Linked DNA regions of Notamacropus eugenii. The protein of the gene in region 1 interacts with the protein of each later gene in a biochemical or structural test. Links are inferred from orthologs where the notes say so. Each region holds a gene or a part of one and is shown on either strand. Other genes may lie near its edges.

Evidence for each region. The genes of interacting proteins can lie anywhere in the genome.
Region 2: the proteins of LRRK1 (region 1) and NUDT16L1 form a complex in vitro, tested with the Homo sapiens proteins (2 studies listed by BioGRID and IntAct, with this or other methods). The link is inferred for Notamacropus eugenii from reciprocal best matches to the Homo sapiens genes LRRK1 and NUDT16L1.

The regions. Positions count from the first base shown.
Region 1 is NC_092872.1:153,611,941-153,615,683, reverse strand, and holds the start of LRRK1 (leucine-rich repeat serine/threonine-protein kinase 1), read left to right. Parts: upstream 1-1,415; 5' UTR 1,416-1,515; intron 1,516-3,743.
Region 2 is NC_092872.1:82,021,486-82,025,228, reverse strand, and holds NUDT16L1 (tudor-interacting repair regulator protein), read right to left. Parts: upstream 2,796-3,743; coding exon 2,643-2,795; intron 2,403-2,642; coding exon 2,142-2,402; intron 1,278-2,141; coding exon 1,056-1,277; 3' UTR 198-1,055; downstream 1-197. UniProt on the Homo sapiens protein: Key regulator of TP53BP1 required to stabilize TP53BP1 and regulate its recruitment to chromatin.

The sequences.
Region 1 (3,743 bases):
TTGTCAGGTCTCCAGTTATAGCTCTGCCTCACAGGGCGAGGCTTCCTAGCAGAGGTTCAGTCTGTTTGTAGGCCCGGAAAAGAGTTAAGAAATAACTAAGTCCAGGACATAGGGATGAGAGAGATATGTGAACCATGCAGATAAGTGCCTGTAGCCTTAATACACACTTAAAAGACTTAGGAAATATTTTTCCTAATGACAATCTCATGAAATACCACACTTGAAGCTTGTAACTATTATTAGACCCATTTTACAGATGAGGAAACTGGGGTTGAAAGATTCAATTTCTTTCTTGGCCTTATAGGGGCAGATAGATTTGTATAGTACATAGAATGGTAGGTCAGGAGTCAGGGAAGACGAGTTCAAATTCTGCCTCAAACACTTGGTAGCTTCATGACTACAACAAATCACTAAAACTATAAAATGGATAAAATAAAAGCAGTTGTTGAGGATCAAATAAAATATTTGTAAGACACAGCCCAGAACCTGGCACTTAGTAGGAGCTTTATAAATGCTTATTCCCTTCCCTTCATTAGAGTTAGTGACAAACCGGATTCAAATTCAGGTCTTTCTGACTCCAAGCCCAGAGCCTGCCACCACTTGCTCATAGTCACAGATCACCTAAAGGAATAAAGACATATTTTGAAGGCTTTAGCGGTCCAATTTGACTGGAGCATACAGTAATAATGGAAGGGGGAAGTCATCTAAGTTTAGACTGAAAAAAATAGGCAGGTGTCAGAACAGGGGAAGGACGTTACTTGACAAATTCGATTTTCACATCAGTTTCTGCTTCACTGAATGGAGAATATGGACAAGGGGAAGCTGCAAATTGTTTCTATATACAGATACATTAAATAAACGTTAGTAGGATGAGGCAGGGTTGCGTGGTGGATACAGCACACTGACTTCGGGGCCCGAAAGACTTCAAGTCCTGACTGACAGATACTGTGTCACCTTGGGGAAGGGAGTAACCTTCCCTGGACCTCAGTTTCCTCTTCTGTAAAAGCAGGGGACAGACTCCGAGGACCTTGATTCAAGTCTCCTAATTTCCATGGGCCTCAGTTTCCACATCTGTAAAATCGAGGGAGGACTCGAGAGCCTCTGCACTCTGCCCCGGGGCCGTGGTAATTTCTTTGGGTCGGAACTCCTCCTCCCCCGGCCACTGCTGCATTTCCTTCCAGGGTTCGATGTGGCCGCAGTAACCAGCCCCCCAACTTGACTCCTCCGCGGCCGGCCGCTCCCCAGCCCCCCGCCCGCCTCTCCCTTGGGCTGGCTGGTTACGGAGGAAGGGAGGTCCCGGCCGTGGCCCAGACCGTGACCGCGACCGGGGCCCAGGCGGAGCGCGGGAAGCGGGGGGAGGAAGGGGGGCGCTGCTCCGCTCCGGCCACGCCCTCCCCGGGGGACTCCCGCCCACGCCTCCCGCTTCCCTCCCTCCCCACGGAGGGAGCGGCAGTCGCGCTGAGCCCCGATTCCACCTGGCAGCGCGGGGGCCCCGGACCCCTCCCAGAGGAGCAGGTAAGCTTCTCCTCGGCCCCCTCCCCTATCTTGCTTTTTCCTCCTCCGGGACGCATCCACGCAGTTTGCGAGTGGGGCGGCAGGGCAGAGGCCACGCCAGGGGCTGGCCTCCTCGGGTCGGCCACCTCTGGAGGGCGGCCCGGCTGCCTCCGGAGCCCAGAGGACGTGGATCTTGGCCGGGGTGGGGGTGGGTGGGGGCGGGAACTTCCCCAGGTGCTGCTCACCTGGGCTCGGCCCGGGACAGAGCCGGCTGCCCGCGGCGCTGCGGGATACTCCGAAACCCAAACTTGCCTTCTGCTGCCGGGATTTCTCTGCAGTGACTCACATCCCCTGGGAGCTGCCTGCGAAGGGGACGGAATGTGGGTCCGGCTGGGGGGAGGGGGCTTGGGCGTCCGAACTTGGGGTTTGGGGAGAAGCAAGACCGGGGAACCGAGAAGGAAATCGGAGGACCCCGTCCAGTAGAGATAGGCACCAACTTCCTACCCTTGGGGACAAGTCCCTCCTGCAGTCCGCGATCCGTCCGGAGCTTAAACAGTGCCTGACACGCAGAGTGGGCGCCAAATAAATGTGTTTTACTTATTACTATCAGCCAAATCCTATTCTGCGTGCGCTTCCTTTTGCCAGTCTTTTAAAGGATGCCTGTTAAGGGGGTTATTTCCCCCAGAGACTCTTTTGGAGCCTGATCTGAGATGTCTAGAAACAAAAGCACCTTGCTTTTTTTTAAAACCATATGTAAGATTTTTTTATTCCTCTCTTCTGTATCTGTCAGGACATGCTGGAGGAGAAAAAAAATCACTTCCTAGGAAAAAAACCAACAAAAACAAGTAATGACACTCTTGCTGAAGTAGGATTTCAAATGATCCTTCAGAACCTAGACTTGGTTTGATAAGCTGCCGTGGTATTTGTGTAAGACGTTAAAAGAGGCCATTGTGATTAAGTAGCATTGTTTGAAACAGCAAAAGAAAAAAAGGAAGGACATGGGGTGTTAAAGAACTGACATCTAAACTTTCCCTTTGCTTTCAGACAAAATGCTTGGCCTTAGGCCTCCTTTCTTTTCTTTTTTAACATTTGGTTGTCAAGTCCTCGTATTTGGAGAAAAAGGGCATTTGGAGTTTAATTTCACTAAGTATGCATGGAAAGCAAAATATTGTCTAGTTGATAGGAATGTACTTAAATAAAATAAACTTTCAGGTCCTCCCACCTCAGTTAAACATTTTAGGAAAATTTGAGTTTTCTATTACCCTGATTCCTCCCATGGGGGTTTGGGGAAGATTAATGAGAATACCATTTACCTCTGTAATACCTGGGATATTGTTTTTGGCCAAAAACTCTTGAAGAAACTTACACTAACTTTGCCTGGAAGTTCAAGAATTTACTTCAGCAGGTGAACAGGGATACCTCAGGACATGCCCTCTTTATCTGCCAGTCGTGATTTGAAGGCCTTGGAAAACTGTGCTTGAAGGGACAGGGTAACAAATACTTTCCTAAGTCTGTGTGGCATTGTGATCCCTTTTTTCTGTGATTGTCTCTCACCAGCAGGCCTTTTCGCTGGATACTCTCTGTATCTCTACCTGTTGGGTTTAGTAAAAAGTCAGTCTTGAATTACTGAAATCTTTAAAGGCCCAATCGAGGTACTACTTCCTCTATATTGGCTGATCCACTGTCCTCAGCCTCACTCCCAAACTACCAGCTAAACTGATATATCTCCTCCTCAAATTTTCTTAGAGCACTTTGTCCTGAACTTTTATTGTTAATCACATTCTGCCTTCTGTCAGTTAATTTGTACATTTTTGCACATTTGTATAGCTGGAGAATTGATGTTGCCACCAAAAAGTCAGCACCCTGCTGCTTTGCTGATACACTTCTCCAAACTTAGGCTGGTTCTTACACAAAAGACCTAGGAGCTACCCTGTAAGTCTTTGCTGCCAGGTAGAATCCTCTAGAGCTTTACTTTATGAATTGCAAAGACTTTTTGAACCCAGTCACCTCTAGGCTGCAATTAGGCCCAGCCTTAGGACTTTCTGGTTTTACTTTCACCCTGACACACCCCTTTGAAGTAAATGGACTTCATTACTATCTTACTTTTGTGGGAGGGAGATGTGAGATCACAAAGAGAATATTGCTTTTATTCGGAGCTTTCGGAATCTTTGTAAGATGAAATGTTATGGGATACAGGCCTTTTTATTTTGAAAGATACATTTATATAGGTAGAAAAAGTTTGGAAACCA
Region 2 (3,743 bases), about 72 Mb from region 1:
GCTATGCTGCCCCCACAGTCTTAGCTTCCTTAGAAATACACACTTCCAGGGATCTGAAAGGAGTGTGCATGGCTCAGTGATGACTGGCCAGTCCTCTCCCTACGAAAACATAGCATCTTCACTCTTATGCCCCAGGATCCCAGGGACGGGGACTCCAGAATCCCTCTGCTGAAGATAAAAGGAGGGCCACACCAAGGAGCTGTCAAGCCACTTTATTTTTCTTTCCTGCTCAGATTTGCACTTGAGGGAGCACACACGCACACAGTCTCACACATACAGATGTATGCACACATACAAAACAATACACCAAGCCCTAGCCTTTCCCAGGCTTTCAGGGAAAGAGCATCCCCTGTCCACCCTAGTCAGGCTAAACTGCCCAAGCTCTTTCAAAATAGGCAGAGACCGGCTGAAAGTTACTTTAAAATCCCATATTCCACATGAATATAAAACCTAACAATTCCAAAATGAAAGAGAACCAAAAAAGCCCCAGCCACATCCCACCAAAACCTCGATTCCTTCCCTCTTTGGGGTAAGGAAATGGAACAAGCAGGAACACGCCAATGTAACCCAAAGCATCCTTGAGAATTAGGGAACTTTTAAACCAGAACACCCTTATACCTGGGGCCTGAACCAAACTGACAACTGCCCCTTGAAACAAACGATTCATGCAGAGAAATGTCAAGGTCTTGACCTTGACCCCAAAGGCCAAACACTGAAGCTAGTGCTAATAAACGGGTCACTCCAAACCTCGGCCAGGTGCTGCTCCTCTCGCACCCCTCTACACCAACCTGAAGTGCCAGCCCAGGCTGCGGCTCCGCCACTGCTGCTTTGCAGCCAGGTCAAAGAAAAGGACTACACAGAGGTCGAAGGCAGGAATGAAATGCACTCCTTTTCAGGCATGGGGGGGAAGCAGGGAGAGACCCCACACCTCTGTGGAATGTAGAATTATCTCAAGTCTTTTCTCAGCCCCTGGAGCATAGAAAATGTGGATAAAAGACGGGGCAGGGAAAGAGACAGGGAGAGAAAACCCAGCCCCAGGGATGGGGAGGGTGGCTTCAGGAGGAAGCAGTCTGCTGTTGCTCCAAGGCTTTTTTCTGTTTCTCAGTAGCAGCAGCCAAGGCCTCAGCCAGCTTGTCCTCGGGCATCATATTCAGCACCTTCAGGGCAAAGAGCAGCTGGTGCTTGGCGGTGCTGATGAAGGCATTGCTAAGGAAGTTGGGGAACCCACCAACTCGATCCTTCTGGGTGTACAGGGGAACCCGGACCAGGCCCAGCACCTGCAACAAGAGCGGACAGGGCCGTCGGGAACCCAGCTGGGGACCGGGCTGGGCTCCCCCCTGCTGAGCCCCGTGCGTGCCAAGGGCTGCTTGGCCACCTGGAGGTCCAATTACCCCCTGGGAACCTATGTTACGGGGAAGTCTTCCCGCGGCTTCTCCTGGATCCCTTAGTGCGTCCATTTACAATGCACACCTTCCTGAATTCCGAGCGGGGGGGGGGACGCGGGCAGCCCTCGGACCCCGAGCACCCCTGGGACCTTACGACCTCCTCCCCAGCCCAAGCCCCACACCCCTCCCTCCCTCCACATCCCATCTCAATCCCACAAAACCCCAACTTTCCCAAGTCCTACTCTCCCTTTTCCCACCCATCGTCTGCATAAGCAACGCCCCGTTCCCCAACGCAAGGAAACTTCTTGGCCACCTCGGCCCCGCTCCCGACCCCGCAGCCCGGCCCCGCTCCCGACCCCGCAGCCCAGCCCCGCTCCCGACCCCGCAGCCCAGCCCCGCTCCCGGCCAAGCTCCCGACCCCGCTCCCGGCCCCCCAGCCCGGCCCCGCTCCCGATCCCGCAGCCCGGCCCCGCTCCCGGCCCCCCAGCCCGGCCCCGCTCCCGACCCCGCAGCCCGGCCCCGCTCCCGGCCCCCCGGCCCGGCCCCGCTCCCGACCTCCCAGCCCGGCCCCGCTCCCGGCCCCGCTCCCGGCCCCGCTCCCGACCCCGCAGCCCGGCCCCGCTCCCGACCCCACTCCCGGCCCCCCAGCCCGGCCCCGCTCCCGGCCCCGCTCCCGGCCTCTCCCCTCCCTCCCCTCCCCGGGCGCCACCGTCACCCCCTGCGGCCCAACGCTGGAGACCTCGGCCGGCGCCCCACCTCCAGCCCGTGGTCCCGCGAGTGCACCGCGCTGATCTCCACCGCGTGCAGCTCCTCCAGGGTGAGCTGCCGGGCGTACAGGTGGGCCACGACGCGGTGCGGGCCCTCCGTGAGGTGCGAGCTCAGGTAGTCGGCTTCCGTGAGGCGCAGGTAGCCCAAGCCTAAGCCCAGCACCCGGTTCAGCCCGTCTTCCAGGGACCAGAACCGACGATCCACAAACCCCCCAGGGAAGCCCAGGAGCCCGTCAAAGCGCATCTGCATCTGCAACAGAACCGCTCGGGTCAGCGGGCCGGGCGGGCCGCGGCTCTCCCTCCGGCTCCCGCCGTCTGCGGCCGGCGCGCTCAGCCCCGATCCCCCGGCCTCGGCCCCGCCTCCGCGCTCCCTCGGCCCCAGGCGGCCCGGCACCCCGCTCCCCCGCAGCCGCGGCTCCGGCTCCTCGGCCCGGCCGGCTCCGCCCACCCTCCGCCCCGCAGTCCGGCCGCACTCTCCCTCCGCCCTCACCAGAACCGAGAAGCGCAAGGGGATCCGCCCGAACAACTGCCCGGGATTGGCTGCGTAGAGCATGGCGTGGCAAGAGTGGCTCCAGCCGGGCCCGAGACGCATAGCCTCCCCGCGGCTGATCTGCTTCAGCTCCGGCACCCGCGAAGCCGACATCTTGCCCGCTAGGACGCAGCACCCCCAGGCAGCGGAAAAGTAGCTGCGTCCCCGCCCCCCTTCCTCGTGTTTCCACCAATCCCCGGAAAGGAGGCCGAGCTCTCCCCTCACCCAGTCTTGTCTCGCCAATTGCCGGAACACGTTGTCAGGCCGCGGCCAATCGATGGGCTTGGTCTTGCTTTGGTTCGCCTTTGTCCTAAAAACCGGCCAATCACGTTCCAGGTTTCTCCTGGGCGTTTGTCACTTACAGGCAGGGACGGGTTGGCCAAATGATTGACGTGTCCTCAAGCCAATCGTCACAGAAGATTCTGGGGGTTGGTCTCAGGGAGGATTTCCAGACTGCGATGGCCCAACGTGCAGCGCCCGCAGCCCCGCCTACCTGCCGGCGGCAGCCAATGGAATGCTTGTATTCCGGCCCGGGCTCCTCGGGTGCCCTAGAAGGTTCCGTGTCCAGTTGGGCAGTTTAACCGAGAGGGGCCGAGGCTCCGGGTCCCGGGTCGTCGCGGGTGCGAACCCCGCTGTTTCCCGGTGGGGGTGGAGGGCGGCTCCCCTCGTGGCCGGGGAGCGCTCTGCGGTCGGAGCCGGAGCCGGGTCGGCAGGGCCCCAGGGCCCCGGGCGCTCCCTGCCCCTCCCGCCCCAGGGGAAGGGACCGCCGGGCGGTCCGTGCCCCGGGGGGCTCCGGCCGCGTGGGGAGCGATGCACCCCTGCCCCTCCTTCGCGGAGGGGCCGGACGGGGGGCCCGGCAGGCCCGGGGACGACTGGGTCCGTGGGAGATTCCCCTCCCCCACTGCCTTGTTACAAGGGGCGGCTCAGTGGTTAGGGTAAGGCCGAGCGGAGAAAGGCGGTGTCCCCAAAGTCCTAGTGCAGCTTGAAGCGGTACTAGCCTCACTTAGCGGCACTAAGACTTTGGGGATACCCCGTATTTTAAAAAGTGATGATTCTAAAGAA